Linked DNA regions of Drosophila melanogaster. The protein of the gene in region 2 purifies or fractionates together with the protein of the main gene of each other region. This does not show direct contact. Each region holds a gene or a part of one and is shown on either strand. Other genes may lie near its edges.

Evidence for each region.
Region 1: the proteins of jar (region 2) and corn purify together in Drosophila melanogaster (affinity purification with western blotting; one study listed by BioGRID). This does not show direct contact.
Region 3: the proteins of jar (region 2) and mira purify together in Drosophila melanogaster (affinity purification with western blotting; 2 studies listed by BioGRID, with this or other methods). This does not show direct contact.

The regions. Positions count from the first base shown.
Region 1 is NT_037436.4:7,154,063-7,159,015, forward strand, and holds the start of corn (cornetto), read right to left. Parts: upstream 3,012-4,953; 5' UTR 1,874-3,011; intron 1-1,873. Other genes in the region: CG8620 (uncharacterized protein), read left to right, coding at 4,185-4,748.
Region 2 is NT_033777.3:24,268,166-24,272,977, forward strand, and holds the start of jar (jaguar), read right to left. Parts: upstream 3,069-4,812; 5' UTR 2,734-3,068; intron 1-2,733. UniProt on the Drosophila melanogaster protein: Myosin is a protein that binds to actin and has ATPase activity that is activated by actin. Together CLIP-190 and jar may coordinate the interaction between the actin and microtubule cytoskeleton.
Region 3 is NT_033777.3:19,931,523-19,936,801, forward strand, and holds mira (miranda), read right to left. Parts: upstream 3,477-5,279; 5' UTR 3,152-3,476; coding exon 662-3,151; 3' UTR 512-661; downstream 1-511.

The DNA.
Region 1 (4,953 bases), on a different chromosome or scaffold from region 2:
TCCAGGCCGGGTTTTCGTCTCCAGAAGCGTTCTCTCAAGGCATAAACCTCTGAAATGGTATAGCCGAATGGCCATTGTCTGGAGAAAGACGAGATGATGAGGCTGCAGCTTGAATTCAGCTCTGTTTGCCCTCGTTTATCGTGTTTCCATGGGGTTGCCAAATCACAAACGAGGCGAATCTGGCCATTCAACTGACCTTGAAAACCAACCCAGACATGTGTTCGCTTATGAGTCCGTTACTGATTATAAACAATGCAACATTTGAACAAGGGGTACCAAGCGGAGTGTGGTGTGTCGCCAAAAACAGGCTCAAATCAGTGAGCTGCTAAATTTCGCACACTTCAAAAACTTGTTTATCATAAATTACGGCCATTGTTATTGAGATACCCGCTAATCGGGCACATTTGTATATGTATATCAGGGGAAACACATTGAAAATGCAATGTGTTATTATCTTTTGGGATAGGGGGCAGGCCAGCCAAAGTGGTAAGAAGTGCTAAAGCTGAAAAGTGCTGATAACTCCTATCGCCAATTGGTGTGTGGGAAAGCGAAATGTGTCACACGATTTGTTCGACGAGTGGAAAGTACAAGAACGGTGGCTTGCTTGCTTCTAGCGGCTCTTGCACCGGAAACTGCACTAATTGATGCTTAATTAGCGATTTCCTCAGCTCACTCTCCATTACGACATCCCCCACTTCAAGTCGCCAAGTTGTCGCATTATGGAGTAACGGCTAACATGTCCGCTGCTCCATCAACCGGGGCGCTTATGAATATGGTAAACGCCATTTAAGCAGGCCGGAAAAATGGTAGCATATACCAATTATTAATTCAAGGAAATGGGAATCGATTGAGCACATTGATACTATTTACTTGACAAATGTATATACTTTTCTAAGTAAACTTAAAACGCAATTGCTTGCCTAAATCCATGCAAACATTAAGTATTACCAAACTTTTTAAGCAAAAAGTTTGGTTTTTGCTACATTTCCCTTTGTATCTTTAATGCAAAAACGTCATGCTGACCTCCATTTTGCAGCATAACTTTTTGCAGTGTGTCAAGTTGTGACTGTTTGACTGACTGAGTGACGGACTGACATTAAATTGCACTCTTCCTGATTGCTTCGTCGCTTCAAAATCGATTATCGCCGAAGTCATGCAACTGAAATTATATTCACCGCTTGCCACATCCATATATGTATGTACATATGTACATACGTATATACGCTTTTACATACAAAGTTAACGCTGCATAATGAAGCGGACTACGTGGCTAGGATACAAAATCCGGAAGCCCCTCAGTCCGGCGGTCCTGACCTTTTTAATTTCAGCTAAAAACCAAAGCCGCACGACGCCAACACACCTCTGACCCACCACAACCACCCTCTCGCCCACACGACGATGTGGCTTCAACATAAGACGCAGCTCATATTCGATAACCACTTTCTACCCGCCAATGAGTTACAGTGGAGATTGGGTAAGCTTAACTTTTATCCTGATACAAAAAACAAAATATTTGCTTAAATTTGGCTTGTTACATAAGCAAAACTTTCATTTTCTTCGTAAAGAAAATTAATTGTACTTAAATGCTATGGAAAAACTATAAAATTTTACACGTAAGAGCCATTTGCCTTTCCCCCATATCCCACATCCATTATAAAAAAATATAAAAAGGACATTAAGATTTGTTAATCGATTTCAATTTAAAACTGACATTAACAAACAAAAAAACGATGTATCAGTTGGTATTAGTAAACTTTCTAAGACCAAGTGAAGGCAATTTCTAATCAGTTTGTGCTCAAAGCGATATTCTCTGCAATTTAACTTAGAACTCGCAGAATGTTCTACTTAGTGGCGTTCCACTGTAGCTACTCACCCACGGAGCTGGAGTTGAAGGAGGAAAACTGTGCCAGCGGTTGAGGAGGTTGAGGCTGCTGCTGGAGTTTCGTTCGTTGATTCGCTCGTTTGCTGTTTTGTTTGTTTGTTTGTCGGATTGTTGCTGTCTTTGTCGCTCAGTTGTTGTTCCTTTGGTGGGCGACGATGGAAATGTCAGAGGGTCGCGGTATTGGTATTACGGCCTCCCAGGGCATTCTCTTTTCGCTTGAGTTTTGATTTTTTTTTTTGCTTTGCCTGATAATTCTATTATTGCTCTCGCTCTCTTGGGGGGGAGTGCAAAATAATGGATGGCAATTCGCGGACGGAAATTTGCGAATTTAGCGCGTCGCTTCAATTTTGTGCAAATTGAATGCACAAACACTGAGAAGTGGAGAGAAATTACTAACTTCGGCGTTCTCCCTGTCTCCCACACACACACATACACGTGCACGCGCGAAATTTCGTGACAGCTGCAGCTGGAGAAGAAGAAGAGCATGAATGATCGCTCAAGGACTCGGTATCGTCCTGCCGTTTCCTCTCTCTCTTTCTCTCTCTGGTTCACTTCCTTTTGTTGTTCCGTTTACCTAACACAACGGCTTATTTGTATTGTCAGGACCAACTCACACACACGCACATACACGTACACTAGCGCACTGCAGCTGAGCCCAAAGGAAAAATCGATGATGAATCTGCGAATTAAAAGTCTATAGCCGCACATCGATTAATCTGCAGCTGAAGCGAGTCGCTTTAATTTAGTTTTTCAGCCTTGTTTTTGCTGCTTACGAGGAAAAAGACAGCAAGGCTTCGTTGAAAAACCCGTTCGGCGCGCAGGAAAGTCGGAAAAACGAAAATCGTATAGCGGCTTGGTAACAAAACGCGCCCACTCGCGGAAAACAACAAGTTTAAATATTAATTAAATCGATTTATATTTACTAAATCATAATATACATCGCTATTACTTCATGTAGGCGAGCAGAAGCACACTCCACGTCGAATTTATTGTTCGTTTGCTTAAAAAATCAGTTTCAATTGCCGCAACTCCGTTGGCATTAAAGTTATAACGATGTTTCTTTAATAATATTTTTTAATGGTAACCGAAAAAACAGCGCGCGCTGCTGCGCTCTCCCGAAAAATTACAGAGAGAATGCGTTGCGAGCTGCTTATATAGATTTTTAAAATATCAGAGAAACCAAATGATGGTAATGTAAAAATACCAAAGCCGGGAAATCGCGTTTTAACAGTCTGTTAACAGTCTGGCGTATCACACTGTTAATTCTCTTCAGCGGTTAAATGTATCTATTGGATGCGCCAAATATATCTTATCCATATTAACAGCTATTTTGATTAAGAAAACTTAGACTCGTTTAGTTTTATTTAAAATTTTTTAATAGTTTTGAATTATTATACCTTTTGTCGATTTTTAAATATAAGTAAACGTAAGGAATGATTTTAACCGCTTGTGGTTAAGACTGCATATTTTGGCGGGCACAATTCAAAAGCAATCATGAAAATACCACAATAAAAATACTAGTCTCAAGCGGTAATGTCTTATACGTAGTCTTATACCTTAAAATTAAATAGCAGTTCTGTAAAATATTTAACCGTTTAGTATTTCTAAAATAATGTGCTAAACCTGATTTATGCAATTATTAAGATCCCAAAACATTTTCAAAAAATTGTGTAAATTTCTTAATACTTTATATTCTTAAAATTTTCGATGATTTAAAACGATAAAATAATTGTTTTAAAATTACACACTTGGACGAAATTCAAAATTAAAATTATATCAAAATAATGTCATATTTCACAAAATCGTAAAAAATAATAAAAGGTATGCTTATAAAAATACGCAGAATATTTATAATGCATATAATATGCAGAAATACAAAAGTAAGAAGAATTTCGCAAAAATATGAAATATGTTTGAGGTTACGTTCGGCAATGAAATTATGTAACATTAAAAACACGTGATCAATGGAAGTAATTTCCCAAAAACCCATGAATGCGATTTGGTTAAAAATAGCTCAGATGACGTCACATTTATCGTGTGGTTTGTATGAGTATGTGACTGATAAAGAAAGGCAAATGTTTACAGTCCGAAAGTCGCGATTAGCTTGGCGCCAAAGTTGCCTATAAAAGCTCATCGACCGAATGCCGCAGAAGCCAGTCAAATTCAAGTGTTCAAGTGAAGCAGTCGAAACATAAGCAACAGATTCCGCAGCAGTTATATCCAGTTCAGAGAAACAGTAGTTAATCAGTAATTAAAGTGTTGAGTGAATTTCTTATCGGGTCAGTTGTAAACTAGTGCAAAAATGTCGCAATCCGATAACGTGGCACGTGAGCAAACTGCGGCAAATGCAGGGCCGGATGCATGTCAAGGATGCCGCGGCCAATTGCCAAATGCCACGCCCGTGGAAGTCGAGGACATGGCCTTGCCGTCGATGGAGCGTCTCATTCGAAAGGCCAACATGGCCCAGAAAATGCTGAACGATGTGATGAAACAGATCCAGAAGCAGCAGCAGCAGGAATCTCAACTCTCCATCAAGGAGACCAAGTCCAAGCACCGCAGCTCCGATGGAGGTAAACGACGACACAGAGGACGCAAACATCATAGTCATAGTCATCACACTAGCTCATCTTCCAGTTCCAGTTCCGACCACAGTGACTGCGAGCTGATCCTGGCGGAGAAGGAGGGGCACATGCCGCGGAGAAGACACACGCGAGATGACCGCAAGCGGGATCGTTCCCGGTCTCGCGGTCGCTCCCGTGGTCACTCGCGTGGTCGTTCTCATGGGCGTTCTCGTTCCAGGTCCTACACCGATTCCCGACGATCTCGAGCACTACCCCTGGCTCTGCCCGTTCGGATTTCAGTGTGAGTATCTGGCTTCATTCAGTATTATTCAATATTCATTTTATATATTAAGTGCGCATAAAAAAACCAAAAAAAAAAAAATAATAAAATATATAAAATATGAAAAAAATATTCAAATGAATTCTTTTTAATGGAGGGTGGGCTTATCTTTATTTTGGGTGCAAATAATACATACTGTTCAGGTATTCAAGATAATAAGTTACATTCGT
Region 2 (4,812 bases):
AATTCGGAGATGCAATTAAAATGCAAATGCTAACCGCTGGCTATCCCACATCCAGACCCAGACCCAGATCCGAATCCCATTTCCATTCCCATTGCCATTGCCATTAACCAAGTCATTTTACAGACGTTGATGGATTTGTGTGACGACCCTATAACTCATTTTCCACGACACATGTTCACAGATTTTCCATATGGTGTGGACCTGCAAGTCGTTACTTTGCACTTGGCGGATATGTGAGCATGGGGGAAAAAAGCATGGATCACTTCGTTTATTTTGGGTCACATTGGGGGCTTTGTGTTAGCCAGCCTTTGTTTTTTTGGGCGGCCTGTGTGTGGTGTTCCCAAATATGTGTTATCGTTTCACACTTAATCTTATCTCAGTTCCCCAGCACAATTACCCGTTTGACGCTAGGCAGAAAAATAAATAGCAGGTAAATATAATTCAGTTTCGTTGTAATGAGAATAATATAACCAAATTTATTGGCCACACAACTAGCAAATTGCAGAAAGTCGAGCCTCTTTCCCATCGAAAACTATAGCTATGCAAATCTATTTTCAGTCCCTTTGTTTTAAATGATTGTTTAACGATTGAAAAGTTATAAATAGACTGACAGTCATTAATCAAACGAAAGTAAAATTTTTTGACAAAAAAGTTGCAGATTATGGGATTATGGATTATGAATTTAAATGTTACTGTAACTATAAAAATGGTCGTATCATTATCATCATACATGATTCACATTAGTTAAGTGGTTGAAGTTTAAGCTTGAAATAATTTATTTATTTAGTGTTTAAAAATGAGTGCTATCTTATCATATTTACAACTGTATTCCGAATATATAGTTTGAATCACCGTTGATATATTTTTGAACAGGAAACTGAAACGGAACTTTCATTGCATATATTGATCCAATATTTTATAAGCACGTGTTGCGTTGGACAAACCAAAAAAAACTAATGTACATGAATAAAACAAGAGGGGCATGTACATAAAAAATCCATCAACGATGCCACGATAGAAGCAAAATACAACTGGAATTATGCTAATCGACTATCAAAACAAAAGCTGCAATTAAACCACACACTCTGGCTGACTTTCACTGCGAATCTTTGAACAATCGTCGGCCGTTTCAGTGTTTCTCTTTTTGTATTATATGCAAATTGGTCTAACGCATCTCGAGCCCAACTGCTGGCCACTCCAAAAAGATTGGTTTGCCTCCATTCGAGAAACTTTGGGCTACATATCTGTATAACCCGTCGAAGGTTCCATATAATTCATATAGGCAGCTGTCGGCGCTGACAATGGACGGCAATGGAGATCAGGATTGTGATCCTGCGATCCTGTCAGCTGTGTGGCGCGTGTTGGGAATTGCTTGCCACCCGGCGAGGGGGAGGTCACGTCGGTTTGAAAGGGGGTTGAACGGGGCTTGAGTGACAGCCAGCACAGGGACAACAACAGGACTTCCTCCAGTGCACCGCAAAGGATCTCGAATTATATGGAATTATATGCGCGACACCCTTGTGCGAATATTAGGTGAAATGATACAGTGATACCTCAATAAATCCATCAAATATTTATTATAAAGTAAAATGTCTTGGTTAAAGGGAAATGCAAATAGGTAAGTTAGTTTTAGCACCCATATAAACATTCTTGTTTGTTTCTAGCCACCGATTCCCGTGAACAAGGACAACATTCCTCACCCCCCCAGAGAAATATAGATACCCTGGCCACATGAAAGGGTATCGACGAACCCGTTTAATTGGCTTTAAAGTGTTCAGAATAGGTTGGGCACGTCTGCAAACATGGACACGCATGCGCAGGAGCGGCGTCCACATCCCTGCTCCTCCAGCTCCTACTCTGCCCCTATTTTCCACATAAATAAACGAAATGTGCCTCGAATGGGAAATCAGACGGCCAGTCAGTCGATCGGGGAGAACGACACTTGTGTCCCTGGTTGACAGGGAAGGGAGGGGGGTGTGGCTCCAAGAAATGTTTGCTCATTTCCGCACTCAATTAAAATGGTCGGGACACAAAACTATCTTTGAGTTTGCTTTAAAAACACAACAACAACAACTGTGAACTGACGACGTTGACATGGGCCCCTGTCTATAAATAGAATTATGTACATACACACACATATGGACACATGGAATAGGGTGCATGGTTGTGGGTGCGGGATGTGGATGAGGATGCGTGGTAGGAGGACAGCTGTGGGAATTGCAGGAATGGTGGTGACATTTGCTGTTGCGACTGCGCACTCCTTTTGTTCGATTTACGGTCACGTTTTCTGTTTGAACCTCCTGTTCTATAGAGAACTAATAATATTGGAGGGCAAACAAAACAAATATGAGTCATGGTTAGAATAAGTTTACCAAAGCCAGAAAAGAGCTAAATTCTATGTAACTACTTGGTATAGAAATTAATAAAATGTAATGATTAATTGTACTTTGGTTTAGTTTATGTGCAAAAAACGATTCCCAGTTGAAAGTACTCATATGTAGGGTGCAGTCACTTCCGCGATTGCTAATCGATTTCTTGTTTGCAACACTGGCATATTGTACATAGGTAACCAATTTTCGTGGACAAGAATGTGCCAATGTCAGGCGGAAAGGCGAAAAGCGCAAGTCAACAGAAAGCAAAAGGCAGCAAATCCGCCTTCACAGGTGACCACCACTCGCTGTCAGGCGGTTATCCCCTTACCCCTATTCCTCCAGAGAGATATTGGCCACTTACCTTAAGACGGCTGGAAATCTGTACGTGCGTAAGTTACTGGCAAATGGGGATTATGTTTCCGGGGACGCACACGAACACATTGATGAAGGCGCAATCCACTTGGAATCGATCTCCTGCGTGGATTTTGTTTGGTTCGAATTTAGAACTTGCAATTTATAGCCACGATACACTATTTCCAAAAGTTTGTAACACTTGAAGTATTTTCAGCTGGGTGTTGTGTTTGTTTGCCTCGGTTTTAACAGTTTAGATTTAAGATTCAAGCGGCGATCGGAAGGCGACCAGCACGAGCGTCTCGAATCGCGTACCGTCGCGTTGGAGAGTCGAGTCGAACTGAAATCAAATCCACAACAATCCACTTTTGGATTTTCGACTTCGAAAAGCAACGGCACCGAAACAACAACAAGCACGCGCAAAACAGCTGACCGCTAGAGGTGCCACCACCGCTGCCGATAGTTAGGGCGCAAAATCTGCCCTGCAGTGTGACCAGAGATTAGTTTTGGCGCTAATTTTAAATATGCGTTACTTTTCAAATCCATAATGGTTAGATGGGTTTTTAAGATACTCATTTTCGTAGATGCAGTAGTTTTTACTTATCCTATTTGTGTAGCCAGTTCTAAACTTAAAGCTTGGAATATGGTAATTTAAGATGCACCGCATATCAGTATATATAAACAGTATACTCTTCAAAAAGATTCACCGCTGATCGTGCTGTTTTTAAGTTTAATTATGAAAGATGCAAACGAAAATGGCCAAGTTTGAATGGAATGGGTTAAGAATGCGGTGTTATCGAGTGGTTCACTCTTCTGCAACACCTGCATCACGACTGGTCCACAGTCGCAGTGGTTTATCCGTCAGAATGTTGGATAGTGTTGTACTCAGTTCTCAGTACTATACTATAATTATTTCAGCAAAGCAAGAAGATTTGGCAACTTTTCAAAATATAGATTTCGATGGCTGCACAACGGTGCGTTCTCATATTCTTGTTCCCTATATATTTTAAGTTTAGTGACGTGGAGCAGGACAATTGGTTCCCACATACCGCCCGTACTCTTTGTAAAAGTTCCAAGAGGGGTTGTTTAATGAATAAAAAGTGAGGTGACTAATTATTTTCCTGTCCTTAACTTTACCAGCTACCACCACCACCTGGATGCATTCTGGGGATCAAATATTCCGCCAGCCTTTGTTGCAAATATTTAGATAAATAACACTAGCGAATGAACGAGAAACGAGTGTGAAATAGGAGCCATTGTATCGTACGATTTTCCGTCTTTGATTTTTCGCTCTCATAATGGGTCAGCGCCCCGCTTATTAATTGAGCTCAATCAGGAGCGTCTTTATTAATTGTCGCAGGGGTATATTGTGTTTTACTAACTATAGTAAGTTATAAGTTATAAGTAAGTATGGTTGAACCCTTCTAACTTTGTAATACTAGATTTCAAAGTTGAAGTTACTTGGTGTACTTGCTTAACTATAAGATATAATTTTCTAATGAAACTAAGTTCTTTTAGCTGATGAAAACTGGTATCTCAACGAACAAGAATGGGTATCTCTTAGTCGCTAGACTCAACTGCGACCATTTCTTTGTATTTTTGCAATACCCGCTTAATTGTCTGTCTGTCGCAGCGCAGCTCAATTGGAAGTGAAAGAGAGCGCGTAGGTCTGAGTGATCGTGATCGCCTGATTGACAAACGACTGCCATCGGATGAGGCATTCGAGTTTCCACTTACCTGGCTTACCTGGCTGCAAGCGGCTGTGCAAATGGAAATTGGTAGAGGCTTTCCCCGTAAGTGGCCGGGGATCGGTGTAATTTGCTACCAAAAACGACTAGGGGTGGCTCCGTACCATGTTAGTCATATCTCCACCTTCTCCTCGTCCGCCTGAAGTGGTTGTATCTGGGTATTGCTATCTTGGTATTAGAGACCCGCTCTCCCGATTCCATATCGATTCCACTGAGAGTGCGCATGCAGCCGGCGTTTGTTTGCCGTTCTTCTTTTCGCATATAACATAAACAGTCGGATATATCCGAGCACCAGAGAGGGTCGGATATATAGCCGCCTTTGCTGTTGTCCCTGTCGGTTG
Region 3 (5,279 bases), 4.3 Mb from region 2:
ACCCCTTCCTTCTCATTCTTCAACGAGGAGTTTCAGCATGAGAAAATTCCACCACATCGAAATCAAAAACGAGTTGCACGGGGTTGGTATGAAAAACGTAAACAATTTCCTGATTCTTTAGGTACAGGCTTTTTTAAATGCATATACAAGATATAACGTATTTTAAGAACGAAGTTCAAGGTGATGATACTGTACACTTCTACATTTTAGATCAGAATACCTTTTATTTCTTTTTTTTTTTTACAGATAATTTGACCTTATATGAATAAATTGGCTAATAAATGGAAAAAATAATTGATGCATTCTCATTATTTTCGTTACATTCAAAGATGAGTCTATTTAATTTAAATAGCTTTAAAGAAGGTCTCACTTTCCAAGACACCTTTTTCAGATTTTTTATTTGATTTCTCATGCCTTAAAATGCATTGCATCAAAATGATATTTTTTATGAGATTAGGTAAGTCCCATATTTCCAGAACACAAACGCGAAAGATAGAAAACAATCAGATTTGGAATTTAGTCGGAGAGTGCTCGAAAGAGATTTCAGAAACACCTCTGGCTGTGTTGTGTGCAACGTGTATTGATTATATTTCGAATCGGATCTTAGCTAAGGTATATAATTTATAATAGTACGATAGAGTAGTTGTTACAAAGGAATAGCCTAGATGTTGCGCGCCTTGAGCACCTGCTTCTGTGGCGGACTGGGCACGTTCTCCTTGCCGGCGAACAGGACAGTCTTCTTGGGAGTGCTGGCCGCCGATCGTGGTGTTCGTGGGGTGTGGGGGGTGCGCGGACTGCGCGGGGTGTGCGGCGCCTTGGGTGTGCGGGGGGCGGGACGGGGCGAGGACTTGCCGGCGGACAGGAGCTCGTTGATCTCGCTGGTGGTATCCTGGCGCACGCACTTGTCCGAGGAGTTGAGCAGCCACGTGGTGATCTTCTCGCAGTCGGATCGCAGCTCCGAGTCGCACAGCAGATCCTCGATCTTCTCCAGATCGGTGGTATTGGAGCGGTTGGCCTTGCCAGGTGTTCCCAGCAGAGAGGCGGATCCCGGTTGCTTGGACTTGAGGGCAATGTTCTCCAGCTTGAGCTGTTCGCACTCCTCGCGCACCTTAACAAGCATCTGCTCCTTGTTGTCCAGCTCCAATTGGGCGAACTGCAGCACGGTGGCGAATTCATCGAGCGCCTTCTTCATGTCCACCATGTAGGCCTCGCGCGTCTCGTCCTTGCGGCGCAGCTCGTGGTAGTGGGCCAACTGGGCGTCGCCATCGATGCGCTCCTGGAACGAGTTTGCAATCTGATTGAATTTAGCCAACGTCTCCGCCTCGCCGGCTAGCAGCTCGTGGAGCAAGGACTCCTTCAACGATACCTCGCTCTGCAGCGTCTGGGAGGAGGATCTCAGTGCGTTGAGCGCATCCTGGCTCTCGGTCAATTGCTGGCGCAGTTGCTCTGCGTCCGCCTGCAACACCAGATAGCTCTGCTCCAGCGCTCCCTTGGCCAACTGCACCGATTCCAGCTCCGCTCGGTACTGCTCCACATCCGCATCGGACTTCTTTAGACGCTCCATCAGAATGTTGACGGTGGCCCGGGTGTTGGTCAAAGTCAGCTGGTAGTTGTACTTCTCGGTGATCGTCTTGGCCATGTCCTGCTTCAGCTGCACCAGCTGCTGCTGCAGTGCGTCGCTCAGCTGGATGTAGTAGTCGATGCCGTTGCGCAACTGCTCTTCGCATTTCTGCAGCTTCTCGTCGCGCATGCGCAGCATATCATTGGTGGTCTCCAGCAGCACCATCACGTCCTGCTTCTCCAGCTCGATCTTGATCAGCTCGTTCTCGGCCAGCTTCTGGCGCTTGTCCAGCTCGGCGCGCCAGTAGCTCTTCTCGCGCTCCACCGCGCTCTCTAGGTCGCTCTCAACCTGCTGCTGCACCTTGGCCACCGCCTGCTGCTGCTCGGTGTGGCGAGCCTGTTCCCGGCACAGCTGGCGAATGGTATCGCAGTGAGCATCGATCTCGCAGTTCTTGTCGAGAAGCTCGTCTTGCAGCGAGCGGATCAGAGTGCACTTGTTGGCCAAGTCATTCTTCAGGGTGTTGCGCTCCACCTTCAGACACTCCAGTTCCGCCTGGCAGCTCTTGGCCTCCTGTCCGTAGGACAGGGCATCCTGTTCGATCTGCTGCTTCAGCTGGACCACGTCGGCCAGCAGGGAGGCATTGGTCTTCTGGAGATTCTCTACCAGCTCAATGTTCTCGGCGGTCTTTGCCTGCTCCAGGCTGCAGTGCTCGCGGGCCTGAGCCACATCCGCCTGAAGAGCAGAGAGTTGTGCCTGCAGCTGCTCCTCCACCTTTTGACGATCCTCATTCGCTGTCTGCAGCAGCTCGTTGGCCAGACGCAGTGCCTCGCTCTCGGCAACCAACGCCTCCACTTGCCTTTCATGCTCGTCGTGCTGTTGCTGCAACTGCTGCTCCATGGCGGCCAAACGCTCCAAAAGATCAGCGTGCTCCTGGCCCATCTGCTCGTTCAGAGCTTTGTGCGATAAATTCTCACTGGTCAGGGCTTCGATGAGCCGATCTGTCTTGGAGGTAGCCAACTCATGCTCCTCGCGCAACTTGGCCTCGGCTTCCTTCAACTGATCCACATGGCGGCGCAGCACGTCCAGTTGGCTCAACTGGCTCTCGATCAGTTCGTTTTTGTGACGGATTTCGTACTGGAGTGCCTCCTTGCCCTTCAGACGGCTGGCTGACTTGGCCTCCTTTACGGGCGTGGTGGCTGCCGAATGCAGAGGAGTGGATGCCGCTGTTGAGGCGCCACTTCCGCTTCCGGTGGCCGTATCCGTGTGACTGGGAGTCGGACGGAAGCGTAGGCGCTGCGGCAACGAAGGAGTACGGAACAGACGTAATCCCTTTGACTTTTTGTCCTCCTTGGGAATGGCAAATTCCTTGGCCTCCTTCGAGCTGGACGCGAAACGCACGGCGTCCTTGAAGAACTTCTCGATCTGCTCCTTGCGTTCCGGTTGAACGGTTGGCGGAGCAGCGGCTGCCGAAGACGCGGTGGGCGTGGCACTGCCCGCCGATCCCGCCGAGCTGTTGGACGCAGCTGGCGAACCGCAGATGGCCACATCCACGTCGTTGAAACGCTTCAACTTGGCCTTGGAGAAAGACATTTTCGAATTTGTTTTTTGGACTTTCGGTTTAACTTGGTAACGATTCTTTTCGGATTTTGTATCAATGTCTCATTAACAACGCTCGTTTAACTTTCGATATAACAATAACTCAACGATCAAACATAAACACAACTTTAACTTTCGGTTTAATTTGGTTATCTTTTCCTTAGGATTTTTAGGTAAACTGTTTAACAATATGGTAGTAGTCTGTAGTCGTATTTAATTCATCTGTACTTTGTGGTCCGTTCTGTGCTACACTAAACCCGCTATCCCGTTGCTACCCGTTTCACTGTACCTACGCGTTCCGCTGTCAAAACCTAACTGAGCTCACCTTCTGTCCAAGATCCCTGAGGCAGACATAGCCTCCAGCTGGCACAGCGAGTGGAAAAGGGATGGATAGAGTGTGGAAACGAGATAGACCCAGGGGAGGCAAAGAAAACAACCCTCGCTCGAGCAGGGGTCGCTTCAACGATCCTGCATTGCTTCACCTATGTGGGATATACCCAACATTTCAGGTTGGGTATTTCCGAGATCTTCAAACGAAAAATGGTTTATGGTTTTCATTTCGTAGGACTTTCATTTTAATCTAATAACATTAACATTGAATATAATAATTAGTGGACATAGAAAATAATATCACGACAATTTTGGATTTTTTAGATATTAGCTGAACAAAAATTTCATATTCCTTAAACATTCTAATGTTAATTTAATATTAGACAAGTCATTTGCAGACGGCATAATTCTTCTGATCTTAACCACTTTTCAATTTAAATTAAACATATAATATTATATATTTTCTATAATGTCCTCTTTTAAGAGTATCTAGAATTCAGGTAAGCCGAGTTATACGACTCCTAATTTTTTTTTTATTTGGTGGTAGTTCGTGCCACAGTTCTTGATCCCCTGTTCGTCTTATCTGTGTGTTTGTCAAGACGTCGGCCTCGTGTATATAAAGGAAATGTTTTCATTTTAGCGCGCGCAAATGTTGCAATTGTAGTTCAAGACAGCACGAGGAGGGTTCGAGACCGGAGTGGGGGTAGCAAGATGGGTAGGGGTGGAGATAGGACGACGGGGTTCCGCATTCCCCGGCTTAAGTACATATGGGAAATGTGCCGTTGCCGACGAACAGAGACACACTCACTCACATCTGCCTGGGCTTCTCCTTTCCTTCGAGGACTACAAGTAAATGCGATTGCTTTCGAGAATTGCGAGACTACGAGTACAAGGATATGAGCTGATGGCTGGATGGACTGCCTCATCCGTTAGCTCCAACACAGCTGGCAGCCAGCATAATTCGTTAATTTGATACGAAATCCGATGCCCGCATAATTAAAGGAAAATGCGTCGGAAATGGGCGAGTTGCGCCTGCGCAATGAGTTGAATGGAATTGAGGCTAAATGAATTGCATGGAAAATGGAAATGCGTCGGGAAAATTGATTTTTCATGTGATATCGCTAGGCAGTTGGGCAATCGGCCATCTATAATCTGTATAGAGAACCCCCTCATGATATCCTGCTGATCCTGCGGTAGCTGCCTGTGCATCCTGTCATTTTTTCACTTCTTTTCTCCAGTGAGTTTGTCACAACTGCCAACTGAAATCAGCTGGTTGTTCCTTTGATGGCAAACAATGACCGGAAGATTCTAGCAACTGGGAGGTGATAATTCTAGGTTAAAGCAGACAAGCATGAAATTCTGGGTGGGTCAGCCACACACAGCTGTGCAAAAGAATTATAATGTAGAAAGACAATGTAGGGAGCCATAGGACAAGGGAAATCGTTTGGAAATCAATAGAATATTAATACTCAAGCATTACTTTTTAATTTATATTTATGCTTCACAACCTTTGTCAATTTATATAGTTCATGTACATAATATGTATGTATATAAGGTTACGAAACCATCCTTTGGTTTCATAGAGGTAATATTTTCCCATAAACATATTTGCATTTGATTTTCCCAAACTCTCTTATAATAAAAATGGAAATTTTACGAAAAAGGGTTTTCATTATTCGCTGATCCAATGATGTGCAGGACTCACAGTAATATTAATGATGTTAATGACATTTACCCTACGCCGCGACACCTTCAACATCATTTTCCCATGCCTGTCCATGCATAACTACCA